4 linked regions of the Xenopus tropicalis genome follow. The protein of the gene in region 2 binds, or shares a complex with, the protein of the main gene of each other region. Links are inferred from orthologs where the notes say so. Each region holds a gene or a part of one and is shown on either strand. Other genes may lie near its edges.

Region 1 (4,888 bases), on a different chromosome or scaffold from region 2:
AGAATACAATTCCTTAGCCACTTCAGTACAATAGTTGCATGTTTAGTAAAAAAAGGACAATATAAACAAACATTTTAAGAACTTCTTCTGATATTGTTACTGGAGATGCGAACACTATTCACTTTGTGTATCAAGGAGGTGTAGCCACTATATACAGCGCACCCAAGCTCTGCCTTGCCTTGTTACACTAAAGGAATGCAATTTAAGTGGACTCATAAAATTAACTTTTCATGTAACCAAAAAATACAGCAGCTTAAAGTTCTTTAAACAATGCTACAGGAAGACAGGCCTAGCAGTCTGCTACTAATACAGGTGCTTCTCTGCCCATCAACCAACAGCACCCATCCGCTTAGGAAGTTACTTCCTAGCACTACTTAACCAGAAGGGGGAGCAGCCCCACCTGATCAGCTTGAATGGAACAGCATAGTAGGATAGGAATATCCTTGCAGAACACAGTAACTTTAAGAATGAGATTAGGTGTCCAAAGATAAAGCCTTTGAAACACAGCTGTCCCACTTATTAGAGAAGCTGTCAGGCTAACTAGGTCTATTAAAAAAAAAAGTGAACACAAGTAGATATACTACACAAACGATTCGGCGAAGCTCCAAAAATCTTTATAAATACAGCCATTGGAAGGACGATCTTGAGTCAGGAATGGATTTTACTCTTGTGTAGCTGAGGACAAGAAGCAGGCACAGTTGTAAAGGCACAGATTCCAGCATCACCTCCCCTAAACTGGTACTACATACCCTTCCCAGCTATGTCTACCCAACACTTATTGCCTGTAGCCAGGACAGAACCAACACATGCATTAGAGGCAAATTGAGAAATTGAGAAGTTAAGAGCCATCACTGGATGGAACACGAAGATCACAACTGACGTACCACCCTTTCCACCCTCCTCTCTAGTAACTTCCCCACATACTTACTATAGCTGTCATAACTATCCCTGTAGGATCCTCCGGAACGATCACCATAGCTTCCATGACTCCTGCCACAAGAGAGACACAGGCCATTGTCAGGAGAACAAATATCAAAATAGAATGAAGTCTTACAGAGCATTCACAAAACTTACCTGCCATAGTAATCCCTGGATCCACTGCTTTGGTAACCTCCACTTCTGTTTTCAAAGCGGCTGCTTCCACCATATCCTCTGTCTCCACCACCACCTGCACAAAAAAAGTTCTTGTGTTTTATAAAACTACACGAATGTTAACCTGTCCCAACTCTAGTGCAGGAAAGAGATAAAAGCCCAGGTTATAGGGCATGTTAACCTAACCAAAAATAACAAATTATGGTTCTCTATCAGGCAATAATGCCTTTTATGAGGGTTGACATACCCTTTAAAAGCCGCTACAAAAAGTATCCTTATAGTTAATTCAAATGGGTAGGGACGGGAATGTCCGTCTGCAATTTGTCTACCGGGAAAGGTTAACCAATATAGTCATGATTCTTATGGTATACCTTATTTCTAAATTACTGTCTACATAGCAAATGAACCACCATCTAAAATTCACTCAAGGAAAAATAAAAGTTGTACTATTAGTGTGTAGGCAGCCATCTCTGTGCATTGTGCCCGATTCTGAGCTTTCAGGAGCCAGCACTACACTAGAGCTGCTTTCAAGTAACCTGTTTCCCCTACTCCCATGTAACTAGTGCAAAGCTAGACTTTCTTCTTATTAATTGTTATTCTGAGATCTACTGGGAGCTAACTCTTCCCTTTGTATTATGGAAAAGTTTACCAGAACATTTATATTCCAAGTCTATATTGCAATGTCACTAAAGTATGTATACCAACCTCGGCCTCTGCCTCCACGGAAGAACCCTCTGCCTCCAGAAGAGCCACCTCTGTAACCACCTCTCCTATCATTGGAGGACTTGCCAGCCTGATCAACACGGATTTGACGGCCATCTACAGACTATATATAAAAAAAAAGAATTTAAAAAAGTTATAAAGAAGCCATATTGTCAGATTTAATGTTTAATGGACATTTTTAGCCATTTAAGTCAGTGTACTGTTCACTGAATTACACTTGTCTTTGTGCTTTGTTTAGTCATGATTTATAACTATACACCTTTTTAGAACATGTTATTCTAAGCCAAAACAGTAATTGAAATTAATAAGTAAATTAAAGGGCCTTCACAGTTCAAGAAAGGCAGTTTACCTAGAGGTTGCAAAATGCAAGGCGGTTACCTAGTGCCTTCATAGCATTATTAATTAATACAGTGAGCATCTAGTGGTAGAATGCAAATACCAAGGACAATATGCCACTACAAAGTGTGTTACATATCCCAGCAATAAACACCAACCACCTGGCAGTTATAAACTAAAGACAGTGAATCAGATTTGCTCTTTACACCTAAAAGGATTTGTTACTATGTGTGCATTTACCTTCCCATTCATTGCCATCATAGCATCCTTGGCATCTTCAGGATTCTCAAATGTGACAAAGCCAAAGCCTCTGGATCTCTTGCTTTCCCGATCCTTCACCACAACCACTGAAAATACACATTGCTTTAGAAGGAGGAAGAAAAAAAAAAAAAAGAAAAAAAAACTGCTTAAGAACTAATTTTAAAAAATAAAAAAAGGCCCACACATACCTTCAGCAACCTGTCCATATTTGCTAAACACTTGCTCCAAGCTTTCCTCTGTGGTTTCAAAATTCAGACCACCGACAAAGAGTTTTCCTTCATCACAAGACATGGTGAGACCTAATAAAGAAAGACGACAAAGCCACATGAAGCGCTTTCCAATATGGCCGCCACCACGTGGTAGAGATCCGAGCCTTGCCGCAGTAGCACAATAGAAGGCGGGAATTCAGCCCATGGATGACGTCACTTACGGTAACGTGTGAGGGATTTATTTCGCCATCTACACGCACAATCGCTAGGATTTTTACATCGACTCTTCAGTCGACAGTTTCATTGTTTTATTAAACAAAAAAAAAAACTACGCGCCAAATAATGAATTGTGCTCATATACAGCTCTTCGACTAGCACTACGAAGAAAGTAAGAGCCTTCCAATAAATTAAATAAGAACCTTCCAATAAATTAATTTAAGCCACATGTAGATTCGTGCCAGTTTTGCCGCGAAGGCGCGAGTATGACACGGTATTTGAGGCGTTGTAGAACGAGGAGTTTTAAACTACTAAATGTGACCACGTATACAGAATACCTACAATGTATTGGGCAACAATTGACACATGAGCTAACCTCCACAATTCACACGCTGAAACCAGAAGAAAAAGGAAAAACCCCACTTACGTTCTATGATCTTCGGACGATACAACACAAGTTGGAAGCCGAATGCGAAGTGCGCAATTCACGCCGGAACTTGGTCATTTATACCAGGAATAACCCCGCCCACATCATGAATAATTTATTTAGTTCCAGTTCGGGCGACACCATTTGGTTGATAGCGCGATATTGAAAAAAGATCATTCAGAGCAATGCGGATGAATAAAGAGTTCACTATTTGTATTGCAGTGGTTAGTTAAAAACTATTACCACATGATGTGTTTATTTTTGTTCATTTTCTTAAACTATAACCATAGTGTACAATAATTTCATACCAATGGACGCTTCTCAGAGGAGGAGTCATATTAGAATTGACGATCCAGTCGCCTGACCGCTTCTTGGGATTTATTTGCTGGTATTGGCTGAATATTGTCGCTGGGAGGATCTCTTTGTTACTGCGTTGCGCGTTTGAACAAAGAACAAGGAGAGAGCTTAGGCGCCATTTTAGGGCTGGGTGGCACATGTTAAAACTCGGCTATGAATCGTGGGTTTTTTTTGTTTAAAATGGTGTTCGGATATCCTAATTAATGATATTATTTTAACGCTATACCGGGTAACATTAATGTTTAGTTATTATTCGAAACCAATCTTGACATTTTCTTAAAGCGTTTAGGAGTGGCGTTTGGCAATTCCAATGCCGAGCTAATGGCGCCGGAATCAAAGGCGCCGGAGGTTCAGAAAAGGGTTGCTGGAAAGTTGATTGTTACTGTATGCATTACCCTGTTGCAAACGGTGCTCCGTTCTTTATACCTATAACAGAACGAATGGCGTCTTTACGAATAGTTTTTATGTTTAATTGCAAGAACATAAGTTAAAGGTGTTTATAAAGGAAAAAAAATAGCAATCCCGGTGCTCGACTTTCATCAAAATGCCTGTTAGATTTCGTTTTGCAAATCTCCCTTCCACCCCTGCTTTCCTACAGTACATTCTGATAAAAAAAGAGGTGATAATTATCGTTATTGAACGTATTATGGTTATGCTTAAAATACTTATATTTAACATCGTTTTAATAGGTGAGGATATATCTAATCCCAAACTTGGGGTATGCAGCCTTTTAAAGTTATTGTGCATGTAAACTTTTATAAACCCTATGTATATACTACTATCATTGATTATTACGCACTATATTTTTCAAGTATTGCACTACTACTGTTTTATAATCTTGTACACAAAGTTTTCAGTCACAGAGCCACCCTGCCCCCAAACGTGGTAATAAAAAGATTAAACCCAGTTTTCACTGGTTTAAATATATTCCTTCCTCATATGCCCCTGTCACTATTGTGGTCTTTGTTGCTTCCAGGTCAGGGACAGAAGAAACATTTTTACACACACACACACACATACAATTATAAAGTGCAGCTACACTTTCATGACATTAAACTGGCAACATATAAAATATTTTCTGTGTAGTGTGATTTGCTTGCTACTTAGTGATTTGGCTTAACAAATGGTAAAATTGCATCAGGCTAAAACAGAAAATTGGTTCAATGGATGATCCCTAAACTGTGGATGTATAGGGGCAAAGTCTGATTTGGGACTACATGTTCTCACAGCTCTTAAAAATCTGGGCAATAGTCCCAAAGATTTAGGA
Region 2 (4,112 bases):
CAACCGATATCGCAAAAGACTGCAGATAATGGTCAACTCGCTGATTGGGCGGATTAAAAGATTTTGATTGGGCACCATTGAAGGCGCTTGAGCAAAATCTACCTTCAGGGCTCAATCGGCAGAAGGAGGTAGAAATCCTATTGTTTCTATGTCCATGTGGATGTGGGAGATCATGTGGCTTCTACATCACATTATTTCATTTTGGTTATGGGAAAATCTGTTTTTACTACAGATTACACAGTACTGTAGGATCTTCTGCCTGGGATGACCTTCTTTTATGATTTTACTACTGCAGTTGTATTCTCACTGTACTTTATCATCTGTATTTAAGAAGCATTTTGCCTAGTTAGCAAGCATTAAACTGTGGAGCAATGTAAAAATGTAAAAAATGTAACATGTTATCCAGAATGCTCAGGACCTGGAGTTTTCCGGATAAGGGATCTTTCCTTAATTTGGATCCCCATACCTTAAGTCTACACAAATTAATTTAAAGGTTAATTAAAGCCAATAGAATCTTTTTTTTTTTTTTTTTATTTTAGTTTGAATCAAGTACAAGGTACTGTTTTATTTTTACAGAGAAACTAAAATAATTTTAAATAATTTGTTTTAAATGGACTGTATGGGAGATGAGCTTCCCCTTAGTTGGAGCTTTCTGGATAATTGGTTTCCAGATAATGGATCCCCTACCTGTATATGTGAATATACATAGACTGGGAAGACCAAAGTTAAACCCTGCTGCCTTGGTTTTAAAGCTTCATGGAAATCTCCACATAATCATTCTGCTGAGCCAGCCATTTGGAAGTGCTTAGTGCACATTCCTTTCATGACAGCTGACTAGAGTTTCTTGCAGTCTGCACTGCGCTGTTAGTGTGTGTCAGTAAATGCTGTGGTTAAATGGGTTAAAATGTGGTTAAAAATACTAATGCTCTTTCTGGAAATGAATGGTCAGCTTAAACTGCTTTGATGTGTAATGACTATGTATGTATATAGACCGTTATAGAGATCTGATGCAGTAGGTCAGGCAGACTGTTCATGACCATGCATGTTCTAGTGTAAACTGTACAAACGCTTAACCTAATAAATGCATTTGAATTTCTTGACATTGCAACCTGGATCTGCTACCTTCTGTGAAATCATCTAGATTTTCTGCCTCCAGCCAAGCAGGCTGATTACTTGTTGTACTTCCTTTTGTGCACTACCCTCAAACTCTTTGTGTTTTTACAATTTATGTGGCTAATTGCTCTTTGTTTTTATCAGGGTGCTGAATTATTGTCGGATTTTTACTGAACTATGTGAAACCTTCTTAGAGAAGATTGTGACAACACCATGTCGTGATCTGGGAGACTTGAGGACCCTAGAGCTTCTCCTGATTTGTGCGGGACACCCTCAGTATGAGGTGCATTGGTTTTTTTACTTGGAACAAAGAATTCTATTAATATAAAGTTGGTCATCAGGCCTTACTTGAAATAATATGAAGTTTTTTGGACATGCAAACCCAAAGACTGCACCAATAATTTTTAGTCTTTTTTGTCCCCAATTATCTCTTATTATTCTTTGTACTAAGTATGCCAAAGTAGGCAGAACATGGGATCATTTGAAAGAAAGAGAATTTAAATAGAAGTCCAGGAATGCCAGGCTAGTGTTTAAATTGCCACCTTTTAGGTTTAAAAGGAGCGTCCCTGAATCCTTTTTTTCTTTTAAGAATGTGTAGATACAACCGCTTCAGGCATATACGTTGAGGACAAATGAAGGGCTATGGCCAAGGTGCACCCCAGTCTGGTATTAGACTAGGGGTCTGACAGATGTAAGAAAAAAAAAGACAGATAGGTCTGTCTTTTGTTAAGGGCAACCTGTAAAGCTACTTTCTGAGTTTTATACATGGCAGGAAGCACGGTTACCACATGGTCCTGTTTCCCCTGAAATTAAATTGAGAGAGACTTGGTTACATTATTACCTCTCCACTTTCTCCTTGTTTCATTCTAACCACTTTTTGTACTATACTTATTACAGACCTTTCTAGCATAAACTAATTGTACAGTATGTACAAACATAATTTACACCTTTACTCCATCTTTTTTTCACAGGTAGTTGAAATCTCCTTCAATTTTTGGTATAGACTGGGAGAGCACTTGTACAAAATGACTGATGCTGTCATACACGGTATCTTCAAACCCTTTATTCAGAGGCTTCTCCATGCTTTGGCAAGACACTGCCAGCTTGAACCTGACCATGTGAGTTCTGTACTTATCCTTCTGCTCTCTATGAAGTAATGGGGCTTTATAGAATGATTTTCCACATTAAATAATGGAAAGCTAAGTCATTTTATGTTTTAACTGTGCAAATAATGTTCATACAGGGGCTTTGTAAACTTCCCAGTTCCTGCTGATGTAGTTATGAGTAACTCAAATTGCTTTTGTCTCCTTCCCCTTTATCTATTACTTCTTTTATGAAGTCCACACTTTTTTTTGCTGTCTTACTTAAATTGTAAGTGATTTTAACTTTTTATTTTTCCTACTTAACAACAGGAGGGTGTCCCTGAGGAAACAGATGACTTTGGCGAATTCCGTTTGCGAGTATCTGACTTGGTTAAAGATTTAATCTATCTGGTGGGCTCCATGGAATGTTTCTCCCAGGTTTGTGTTCCCTAACTAACCTACTATTACTAATTTTCTCTTGGAGGGGTGGAGTGATGGGTAGTTTTAAATTAAAAAATATTATGACACAGAAATGAATGCCAGCTTTGAAAAAATTAAGATCTATACTGGTCTGCATAGCAGCTCCTAAGTGGGGATATTGAAAATGCACAATGTAGCTTCCAGCAAAACACTTCAATATATGTATTATTTCTATGAGCTCTAATGGGTTTACCTTTGGAAGGTGCTTATATTTTAGGCAATGCCATATGGGGCTAATTGTCTGATTCTTAGCAGAAGGCTGATGCTAGTGGAGGTGCTGCTTCCCGGCCTACATTTATCCACACTTTTATCGCACTGCATCTTGTGGACAGCTGCACCAGAGTACAACAGAAGGGATATCTGGGAGGGTTTACTTCGACTTCTTAATACTACTGTTGTCTTAATACAAATCAAATAAGACAAGTTTGGGAGATTTTCAATGGCCCTTTAATAGTCCATATAGTCATAAATAGTCATTATGCCAGTTACCGATATTGCTTAAGCATTTGAAAGTACTTCTGAACAGTGAATTAGATCTGTGCTTGTGGCTTTTGCCTGATGGTTCCCTGTCTCTCCTCGCAGCTCTATTCTACTCTAAAAGATGGAAATCCACCTTGGGAAGTGACAGAAGCTGTGCTGTTTATTATGGCAGCCATTGCTAAGAGTATTGATCCGTAAGTGGCATTTCTATCCACAGTGTGTTCCAACTGAGGACATGCAATTTCTATGCACTAGACAGTCCTTTTCTCTAAGTTTGTGTGACCTGTCACGTAACCGCTGAACTATTGCTGTTCATAGATGTGCCCCTACATAATCACCTTATTTACAGTTGACCAGAGCAGCTCTATCAGGATAGATTTATGACAAACTGACTTGTTGAAACCGTTGCATCCTATGATGTTGAAAGCCACTGAGATCATCAGTACTGCCTATTCTTTTGCCACTGTATGTTGCTGGGTGTGGCTTATATAGCCAGTTTCTCTAATTAGATGGAGTGTTGGGATACTTTAAACTCCCTTTCTTTGAACGTAAAATAAAAATTCATCGATTTGTTAAGGATTTTTATACTCTGTGTCAGTTCCATATTTCACAAATCCACCCCCTTGCTTTTATTTGTATTGTTCCCTGCATGTCTTTAACTCCTTTCTCCACCTTACAACTTGGGCCCTTCTCTTTCATTTCCAAAAGTGTTTTCTTGTATTAGAATTTACCATTATTGTAATTTAGTTTGCACCTGTAACAGTAAAGTCATTTTTTTATAACAGTTGATACAAGAAAAATTCAATGACAGTAAACCACTTTATGATTTATTAAAGTGGTTTATTGTAATTGAATTATTTTTGTATCAATTGGTTTAAAAAAGATTGTTTTTTTTATTTTTGGGTTTATGTATTTTAACTGGCTTAAAGGAAAAGTAACACTAAAAATTTTCAAGTA
Region 3 (4,803 bases), on a different chromosome or scaffold from region 2:
AGAGAAGCTGGATTTGAACAAGCCAATCTTCAATATCTTATGAACTTAGGCACATCAAAGAACGATAAAAGTCAAGCAACTATAGTACATTATACAGAAAATTTAAAATTCCCATATCTTTTGGCACCTTATGTATTTGGCCAACATCACTATTGGCTTCAGAGGTCATGTAAAACAGATACTGCTAGTCACAATAGGTAGAGAAAAACTTAACACAAACTACTAAACAATTTAGTATTTACCTCATGAGACCTAAATTTAGTGTTATCCAGCTTCCGTACTGCATATGTCATATCTTCTTTCCTCACAAACTCCACAACTCCAGTACCATCTCGGAACACATCGGCATAACATACATCACCTGCTTCACGCATGTGATCCTTTAAATCCTGCCAGCTGCCACTTGGAGGCAACCCTAGAAATATAAAGTTATCAGAGTGTCAAATTTGGTATCAAAAGCAGTTTTATACATAATTAAAAGCATGCAAATGGTGGAAATTTAAAATGGTTTATGAACTTCTAGTGCCAAAATTCCAAGAGTAGGTATCTATGCTGGTTATACAGCAATGCATGGAGCATTAAAACAGTCCAAAGACAGCTGTATTGCTTAAATGAACACAGCATCCTGGGGAAAACCCATTGTTTTAATCTGAACCATGCTTCCAGCGAGACTCACAACAGCCCAATTCTGCTAAAATAACTCAGGGGTTTACATTTAGTACGTTTTAAAGGTAAATTTGTTGCAGTGCTTCATGTTTGAACTGAAGGTAACATAGCAACATGTGCAAGTTTTCATAGTCCAGATAGCATCCTGAGCAACCAGACAGGGCCATTTAATATCTTGTTTGAAGACAATACCCTATCCTTCCCTTTTCTTGTGACTGCATGGTTTGAAGTCCATTATGCAGGAGAATTGTGTGTGAACTGTAATACAATTATCTACCTTGCAAGGACCAAGCAGAGAGTTGCTTAAGTTCTGTTAAGCTGATGCAAGCCGTTAACTGAACTAAAGTTAAAGGGAGATATACTAGTAGTTCTGTTTGTATACATTAATGGTCAGTCATATCCACTGGTATAGAATGCATAATACTTTAGAATGTATGCATAACTGTGTCCAACTCATTATTGTATACATGTGAAATAACGCTGCTTGTAAAAACCTGATGGGCATTATTCCTCTAAAACTTTGCAACTGATGTTTTTACTTTGGTTTTTAAACCTGCCACCTGATAGAACTCTTACCTGACACAACCACTCTGTATTCTGAACGTCTTGATGGAGGTCCATATCTCCCTCGGGGAGCTCCTCCTCCGCCGCCACCACCACCACCGCCGCCGCCGCCTCCACCACCTCCTCCTCCGCCGCCGCCACCACCACCACCACCTCTGCCTCCAGCTCCTCGCCCACTTCTTGGAAACTCAACACGCAAGCGATAGCCATCATAATCATAGCCATCTCTACCATAGACAGCATCTTCTGCATCCCTAAGAGAAACCAAGGTAAGAATTGCTTTAGTTAAAGAATGCCAGGTTAAGAAGAGAATATTCACCTACAATGGTAATTACATATCCTGGAAAACTTTCTTGGCTGTAAATGAGAAAACTTTATTACAGTCATGTATAGAGCTACAAACGACACATGACCCCAGATTAATTCTGTGTAAGCAAGCCATTGTATCTTAACAGTCTTTTAGACATGAATGGCTGCCCCCATGACTACACAAAAGCTTTTGTATTTACATTTAAACAGTACATTTTCACCAATACTTTACATATGTGCATATAGTGCAGATGCTTAAACACCCATTATTCATTTTGTAGTGTTGCTATTGAATATCAATACTGCACTTCTCCAAGCAGCCTACATAAAAGGTGTTAGGAGTTCTGGTTGAATAAGTGCAGTGAGCCTAATTGCATGCTTTATAGCAGAGACATGAGGCAGCGGCTTTAAAGCAAACAGGTCAATAAATAACCCAAAGCACATTTGCTTGTTAGAATGCCTTCCCTTAACACACTAGTAAGCATGGTGCAGGGCTGCAGAACAAAGAGCGGAAGCGCTATTCGGTCCCACACACAGGGGGCGCTGTTGCCTAAAGGCGGTAATAAATAGGGATTTACACGTGCTAATGGCGATACACAATGAGTGTATAATACCTCATTCTGGCGCCACTCTGTAGGGATTATAGGCTAAATATATTAACTTGAATAATGATACAACGCACCGATGTTGAAACATAACCTGCACCATAATCAGGCCTAATTCCCCCCCTCACTGGCCTCCTCGACTATATATAAACTCTAATACAACAGCGGACGACATTTTATCAACTACAGCAGAAATAAAGTCGCAGTACCACCACCCCGCCCCCGGATACACTCAAGGTATATTGTAGTTATTCACCAGTTAACACTAGGCGAGCCCATTAGCACGATAGGCCAAAGCAAAAACATTTACACAGGGATTACCTTGGATCTTCGAATTCCACAAAGGCGAATGGCGGGCCCCCTCTGCGGTTCTTTAGGTCTATGTCCCGAATGGCCCCATACTTGTAGAAAACGTCCTCAATGTCCTTGGTGCGGATGTCTGGCGGCAGATTGCCAACATAGATACGGCAATCGTTGTTACCCGCCGGCCCCCTAATCACGCCGCCCCCTGACATATCCAGCTTGATGGATTTAAAGGGAGACGGATTGAGAAGAAAAAGAAATGGAGTTGGAAGCCAAACAGACCTTCGATGCGCGCTTCAGAGCTTGGACAAGATGGCGGAGTTACTTCCTCCCTTGCTTTAGCCGCGCAAGGATACTAAGAACTCGCAGTGGTGCGTCCTCAACAAAGGTAATCTTACGCCGAGACAATATAGAGCCTCTCGTTTCCACGTCTTCACGATGCAATGTTCCTAAAGCTATGTGCCAATTACGGCCCTAAGAAAGAATCTATTCACTGAGGTAATATTTATACTAGAAACCTGAGCTCAAGCTGCTTCTCTGTATGTGATAGGGGGGCTTTCTATACCCTGTGCTTGACGTCACGTCCGTCCAGGAAATGCGCGCCCATAGTGGGGGAGGGCAGTGGGTGTTGTTTGAAAAATGTTTTGTTACTCGTCGTGCGCCATGGCTGTTGTTAGGTGGTTTTGTATTATAGAACCATGGTCGGAGGCTGTTAGCTCTTTATCTGCAGTGACATTCATTATGAGTATGAAAATCATTAACTACAGGTGTGCTCTCAATGGTTTCCGCAATAAAACTTTTAAAAGGGTTTTACCCTTGTTTGTAGTCCTGAGTGCCAATTGCTTTTTTTGTTGTTACAGTGTATTTGGAGGGTGCCGATCCCTCTAGCAGTGTGCACCGTACAAAATTTTTTTTGGAGTGTTAGGGTGTGCGGATAAGGTCTCTGTGGTCCACTCTCAATGGTTTCCCCATTAAAGTAGCACTGCAATTCAATACTTTGTAACTGCTGTCAGGGTAATATTGCAAACAAGGTTGGGAAGACTTTGTCCTATTTATTATTATTAACATTTATTTATAAAGCGCCAACATATTCTGCAGCGCTGTACAATAAAAGGGTTTTATACATTGGACATACAGAGTAGCATATAAAGCAATCAATAACCGATACAAGAGGTGAAGAGGGCCCTGCCCAAAAGAGCTTACACTCTACAAATATTTATGTGTTGATAATAAATACATGCCTTACATTACACTCCTGTTTGGGCCTTGTGCATATTTGTTTGTTTTATTTTAGTCGAGCTTAGATTGGGCAGTGAAATTGTAAGCTCTATGGGGCAGGGACCTCCTTCCTACTCTCTCACACCACATGGCGCTCAATCTGTGTATTTATACTTCTTGTATTTATTATAACAGTTGTCCTCCCTGTGTGTAATTGTGTATATTGTAAGATTGTATAGCGCTGTGTACCCTTCTAACGCTTTATAAATAAAGTTATACGTACATTTATATATTGCCCAGCGCTTTACAGAGTAGGGAGTGCAACCCTGGGCTGAAGTGGAAAAGCACTTCAAAAAGTGCAAAAGTATTTAAGAAACTGATGCTGGAATGTAAAAAAAATCCATAACAGAAAAATACTCGAAAATGTATGCCTTTTAGCAAACAAAAATTTCTTTGAACAAATTTAATATAGCTTTTGAGAGGTCACTTCCGACAGTGGAACAAAGGGGGCAAGGGGTACTGTCATGAATAGGTGTGCAAGTTGATGCTTCCCCCCACATCGGTATTGTAGAGAGAGAAATAGCGCTCAGAATTTCATCTCTTTAAAGAAAAACTATACCCCCAGAATGAATACTTAACCAACAGATAGTTTATATTATGCAGAGTGACCTATTAAAGAATCTCGCCAAACTGGAATATATATATATATATATATATATATATATATATCAGTAAATATTGCCCTTTTAAATCCTTTTCCTTGATCCACAATTTAGTGATGGGCTGTGTGCGCCCTCAGAGATCACATGACCAGAAATAATGCAGCTCTAACTGTAACAGGAAGAAGGCAGAACTTTGTTCATTAATTGGCTGATGGGGCCCAGCATGCATATTTTCCTTGACTTGTTTGTGTGCACTGTGAATCCTATGATCACAGGAGGCGGCCCTTAATTCTTAAAATGGCAACTTTCTATTTAGGAGTACCCAATAGCACATACTACTATAAAGTATATTTTTATAAAAATCGTTTATTTAGATGAAGCAGGGTTTTACACAAGGGTGTTTATGCAATACATTTTATAGAGACCTACAGTGATTGGGGATATAGTTTTCCTTTGTTACTTTTTATTTTTTAAGA
Region 4 (4,756 bases), about 29 Mb from region 2:
GGCAGATTTTGCCCCAAACACTTGAGTTCATATATTAATGTAGTTTATATGAAACTGTCAATCAGATTCAACAAAGATATAGGACACACTGTTGAAGTGTAGATAAAGGCAGATATATGCCTTTCACAGGAATAAAATAAATGCAGACAGCATATTTTTAGTGGTGGTTGTTTTCTTGTGCAGTGGTCAAAACACCTTGTGCAGCATGAAATCAACATAAACTACACAATAGGAGCAGAAAAATGTTATTGTTATGCCTTTACTTACCCATGTTAGATTTCCAATGTAGAGTGCTATTCGTTTACCAGTATAGGTATACACAATATTAGGAACAGATCCTTTCACTACATCATCTCCAACAGAAGTTGCTAGATTATCCATATAGTCGCGGTCCTCAGGAGCATCTCCATTGTTTGCAGATGGTGAGATGACATCCTCATAGAGTTCAATTTGCTCATGTGCACCATATTCTGCTTCCTTTAATACAAACAAAAAATATGAATGTTCATACCTCTTCAAGCAGCTGCCTGTTGCCTGGATCAGGGCCTTAATTATTATTATTAATTTACAAATTTTAACATATTGATGCATTCTCCACTTTATTATACATGTCAATTTTTAAAGAATACATTGTTCACCTAATGATTCTTTCAAAGGCAAATCAATTACTGGTTTTAGATAAATATGTATGGACTAGGAATGCACTTACAAGCAAAGATGTTTTGCTGTGTTGTTCAGATAAACACAACAATTCTTAATGGAACATTTGGTTTTTTGCCTGAAAAAAAGGACATTGGCAATGCGAGTGATCTCCATAATTTGCACCTTTGGATATTTGTGACTATAGCAATGGGGACAAAAACATAAAATCCCCCCTCAACAACTAAAGTGTAAAGGAAACTTTGTTGTATAATAATCGGCACATGCATGGTGGGAGACACAGCAACCAATATCAGTAAATGCCTTAAGATATTGGTTGCCTTGTCAATCGCGCAGGACTGAAAATTTTGATTGGGTGCCTTATCATCGGAACTTTAAAGGGACAGTAACACCAAAAAATGAAAGTGTATAAAAGTAATTACTATATAATGTAATGCTGTTCAATCAGCCATTAACCGTTCAGGGCTGAAACAGCAAATAAGGCTGCCGATTCAGCCCTGAAGGCAGATTTTGCTCAGGCGCCTTCTATGGCGCTCGATCAAAATCTTTTAACCTGGCCGATCGGCGCGTCGACCAATATCAGCAGCCTCCTGCGATATCGGTCGACTCGCTGACTTACCATACACGCACCGAATATCGTACAAAACGAGGTTTCGTACGATATTATCGGTGCATGTATGGCCAGCTTTAGAGGCTACCAGATTAGCCATTTACTGCCCATATTTGGCACCCCCAGAAACCTTTTTATGCTTGTGTTGCTCCCTGACATTTTACATTTGAATGTGGCTCACGGGTAAAAAAGGTTGGGGACCCCTGTTCTACAGCATTTAAAATATTTTCTGATGCTTTGACAGTCACAAGAGGCAGTTCCATGTGTAACACAGTTCTGTATATGCCTCTGCACTAACACCCCAACATTGCAAAAATCCAAGGAGGTTTGGAAGTCTACAAAGATAAGAAAACAACAGCTACATTATTTCTGACAGCTTATTTTACAAGCATCTGAATATTGTTTCAGTCCTCAACCAAAAAAAAGGGGAACACATTTTAATTTAAGAAATTGATATTTGATTATTTCCTCCACCAGCCCCCCCCCCCTGTATAACAAGAATCTTTCAATACCTTGCTGCTCTAAAAAAGAAACAAATGTTGATTTTATCCCTGTGGTACAGAAAATGTGTTTTAATGAATAATATAGAACATAACTAGGGTAAATTTCCATGAAAAATAAAAGCATTAGATCTAATATAAATAGTAATGGATTTGCCAATACTTTTTTGTGCTTTAAATAGTCAATTAGCTGAAATTCACTTCTAATTTAAATATGGAGAAAGTCTGACGTATATCAGCAATGGGGCCACTACTGCCTATACCAGATATTGACATCCTGCATTCATTTGCTAATCTAGAGATGGTGTATTTATAGCTGAAGGATATTAAAGATACCAGTATAAACCTGTTATTAAAGGTTGAACAAACCACATTTTCAGTTTTTTTTCCCTTCAACCATTGGCATTTAATTTTTTATCCATTATGTGAAACTGCAACTGTATAGTTCTACATTTACAAGTAAATGATTGCTGTGCTGTCTCTCTCAATTCAAGACAGATAGGAAAAGTACACCGTTTTATGATATTAGAAAAGTGTACATTTTTCTATAAAGAATAGTTTGGAAAATGACAGCAGATGCATTTTATTACATTATGTATGGTACCTATTTTCTTGTACCCCCCAAAATAAAGACAGTGGTACCTAGCAGCTGCCGGCGAGATGCTCCAGGGCCCCATGTATGTTACAGCCTATTATATTCTCTATTTCGACCAATGGATAAGTAGATTTATTTGGGGGGGGGGGGGGAAGCAATTATGATAACAGTTGTGAAGGTTTTTCATTAGTCTTTCCAAACAACCCTAGTAGCTTAGAACAATTTTTTAAAATAGAGTGGTATTTGAAGGGGTGAACAATTGTTGTAGTCCGTAAAAGCTCGTCTTCCCACAGTCTCTAAGAAAAAGAAAATCCCAACAACTACTGTTTTAGTCTAGAGCCCCCGTAACCCACACATAACTAATCCAGCAGGGCTCTGGGCAATGGCACTAGACTGAAGTTCCGTGGAACTCAAGGCCCCGGCACACGCGGCCTACACAAAGAAAGTGCAGAAGGCTGTGTGGCCGGGTTCGGCTTGCCCGCCTCTGTACAAATTTTGCGAATCTCCAGGGTAAAAGAAATGCTTTAAAGACTTGATAGCATACATAGGCCTACAAATAATAACAAAACAAACAGGCGCTTCTTTTATCTGCGAGAAGTCGGGAGGCGGCCCAAGCACACACAGACGACTCGCACCAGCATGACAACCACTTGCTGCACCCATATTTCCCACTCGCGATACCTGATTAAATTCCTCGCCCACATCTGCGTAGATATCGATATGATCCACTCCGTCCGCCATCTTCCGCCTGGAGCGGCAGCGCTAGGCAGTCACGGAGGCGGTGCGAGCTGGGAGGAGTGGGTCGGGAGGGGGAAGGCGGGAACGGGCGCGTCACTTCCTCTACTGGATACTGAACCAGCTAGTTGCGCGCGTTTTTTTTCACATAGTATAATTTGTATTGTACAAACTCGTTGGAACGCGAACAATGAGCAGCAGCATTAGAAAGATATGGCTGAAGGTGAATAGAAACTTGCCCCAAGTCAAATTCATATTCTCGTCAGAACACCGTGTTATGAAGATATATGAAAAACATTTTTTAAAGGTTTTTATTATTTTCTTTACAAACAGAAACATAAAACCAGCACAATAGCATATACAATAATTAGTGCTATGACCATGGAGAAAGTATACAGTAGCAGGGTCAGCTAGATACAGTCGGTGTGGCCTAAGTAGTTTGGATAAGGCCTGTGATTTGGGGGAGACCTTTGGTGTAAAAGTCTCAGGGTTATACTGTGGGACTCGCTTCTGGTTGAGCTTCTTACAGTTTTTGAGAGGATTGTCTAGTTCAAAAGGTCTCTCTAGAAATCCAGTTGCATCTAAGTGATGCCATAACCTTGCTTTGGTGTCATAATCCCACTGACATAATTGTGCCCACTTCTGATGTCATCATGCCCATGTCAAACATCACTGCCCCGCCCCCTTTGTTGAGGTTTAGCCTCTGACAAAGGTGGCAACCTTAGTAGGCATTGTCTGTATAGACGCCATATTCTCTAGAATTTGCTAGGGCAACCCCTGGCAAGGTATGTTAGTTTAATAAGTGGGAGTCTAGTGTTAACAAGTTGTTTCCATTGCTGGAGGTCAGGGGGGTGGGGGCTCATCCATTTCATTGCCAACTTTAAAACAAATGGACAGATACAGCAAATGGTGTCTATACAGACAATGCCTACTAAGGTTGCCACCTTTGTCAGAGGCTAAACTGCAACAAAGGGGGTGGGGCAGTGATGTTGGACATGGGCATGATGACATCAGAAGTGGGCAAAATTATGTCAGTGGGATTATGACACCAAAGCAAGGTTATGGCATCACTTAGATGCAATTGGATTTCTAGAAAGACCTTTTGAACTAGACAGCCCTCTCAAAAACTGTTCAAAACCACATGGAAGGCAACCCTAACTATATTCTGCCCAATGAGTAAATTCAATCCTAATAATAAAATACTAATTCATTTATTTGTTTGTTTCTGTAATAATAAATTAAAAGAGAAGAAAAGGTAAAAACTAAGTAAGCTTTATCAGGTAGGTCTATGTAAATACAGCCATAAGCACTCACGGAAACGCTGCACTGAGTCCTCTATAAAAAGATACAGGATTTCTTGTCTCTTTGATTTCCTGTGCCACAGACACGCAGCTCTCTCCTCTCTCCCCTCTCCTGCTCCCCCCTCCCTCAAGAATGCTAAGAACTCCCTCCCCCCCTTAGGAATGTGTGATCTGAGCCAATCAGCAGAAAGCTTCCTCATAGTCTTACACACTGCATATGTACACCGGTCTTGGTCTTGGTGCAGGAGCGAGGCATTATGGGAATCTTCTTTGTTTAAATTTAAAATGCTGCTATTCTTATACTATCCGTACAAGTGTCCCCTTGTACAGTTAAAAACCGTGGGATTAATATTCA

The links.
Region 1: the proteins of tnpo3 (region 2) and cirbp are in contact, whole or in part, in a crystal structure (PDB 8CMK), measured with the Homo sapiens proteins. The link is inferred for Xenopus tropicalis from reciprocal best matches to the Homo sapiens genes TNPO3 and CIRBP. Residues at the interface, in NP_036602.1 of Homo sapiens: Arg620, Glu660, Arg661, Cys663, Arg664, Arg667, Phe668, Arg671, Ser698, Cys699, Tyr702, Ser705, Ile706, Asp709, Glu710, Asp747, Asp750, Asp751, Arg754, Arg758; in NP_001271.1 of Homo sapiens: Tyr160, Arg161, Ser163, Tyr164, Asp165, Ser166, Tyr167, Ala168.
Region 3: the proteins of tnpo3 (region 2) and srsf1 are in contact, whole or in part, in a crystal structure (PDB 4C0O), measured with the Homo sapiens proteins. The link is inferred for Xenopus tropicalis from reciprocal best matches to the Homo sapiens genes TNPO3 and SRSF1. Residues at the interface, in NP_036602.1 of Homo sapiens: His155, Arg157, Arg160, Thr167, Tyr254, Ile256, Glu257, Glu304, Glu340, Ile341, Phe343, Asn344, Tyr347, Arg348, Glu351, His352, Lys355, Thr356, Arg620, Asn656, Glu660, Arg661, Arg664, Arg667, Phe668, Arg671, Ser698, Cys699, Tyr702, Ile706; in NP_008855.1 of Homo sapiens: Ser116, Arg117, Arg118, Ser133, Trp134, Gln135, Lys138, Asp139, Arg142, Glu143, Gly145, Asp146, Cys148, Tyr149, Ala150, Asp151, Val152, Tyr153, Arg154, Val172, Arg173, Asp176, Asn177, Arg181, His183, Tyr189, Ile190, Arg191, Arg198, Pro200.
Region 4: the proteins of tnpo3 (region 2) and cpsf6 are in contact, whole or in part, in a crystal structure (PDB 6GX9), measured with the Homo sapiens proteins. The link is inferred for Xenopus tropicalis from reciprocal best matches to the Homo sapiens genes TNPO3 and CPSF6. Residues at the interface, in NP_036602.1 of Homo sapiens: Arg620, Asn656, Arg657, Glu660, Arg661, Arg664, Arg667, Phe668, Arg671, Ser698, Cys699, Tyr702, Ile706, Asp709, Asp747, Asp750, Asp751, Arg754, Arg758, Gln761, Cys793, Arg797; in NP_008938.2 of Homo sapiens: Tyr521, Arg522, Glu523, Arg524, Ser525, Glu527, Arg528.

Annotation. Positions count from the first base shown.
Region 1 is NC_030677.2:99,957,095-99,961,982, forward strand, and holds the start of cirbp (cold-inducible RNA-binding protein), read right to left. Parts: upstream 3,320-4,888; 5' UTR 3,265-3,319; intron 2,712-3,264; 5' UTR 2,704-2,711; coding exon 2,601-2,703; intron 2,499-2,600; coding exon 2,392-2,498; intron 1,919-2,391; coding exon 1,798-1,918; intron 1,169-1,797; coding exon 1,075-1,168; intron 991-1,074; coding exon 929-990; intron 676-928; coding exon 662-675; 3' UTR 1-661. UniProt on the Homo sapiens protein: Cold-inducible mRNA binding protein that plays a protective role in the genotoxic stress response by stabilizing transcripts of genes involved in cell survival. Acts as a translational activator.
Region 2 is NC_030679.2:87,749,083-87,753,194, reverse strand, and holds part of tnpo3 (transportin-3), read left to right. Parts: intron 1-1,257; coding exon 1,258-1,396; intron 1,397-2,084; coding exon 2,085-2,231; intron 2,232-2,525; coding exon 2,526-2,633; intron 2,634-3,257; coding exon 3,258-3,349; intron 3,350-4,112. UniProt on the Homo sapiens protein: Importin, which transports target proteins into the nucleus. Specifically mediates the nuclear import of splicing factor serine/arginine (SR) proteins, such as RBM4, SFRS1 and SFRS2, by recognizing phosphorylated SR domains.
Region 3 is NC_030678.2:76,103,193-76,107,995, reverse strand, and holds the start of srsf1 (serine/arginine-rich splicing factor 1), read right to left. Parts: upstream 2,914-4,803; 5' UTR 2,660-2,913; coding exon 2,466-2,659; intron 1,485-2,465; coding exon 1,243-1,484; intron 416-1,242; coding exon 243-415; intron 1-242. UniProt on the Homo sapiens protein: Plays a role in preventing exon skipping, ensuring the accuracy of splicing and regulating alternative splicing.
Region 4 is NC_030679.2:58,921,564-58,926,319, forward strand, and holds the start of cpsf6 (cleavage and polyadenylation specificity factor subunit 6), read right to left. Parts: upstream 3,225-4,756; 5' UTR 3,107-3,224; coding exon 3,047-3,106; intron 478-3,046; coding exon 268-477; intron 1-267. UniProt on the Homo sapiens protein: Component of the cleavage factor Im (CFIm) complex that functions as an activator of the pre-mRNA 3'-end cleavage and polyadenylation processing required for the maturation of pre-mRNA into functional mRNAs.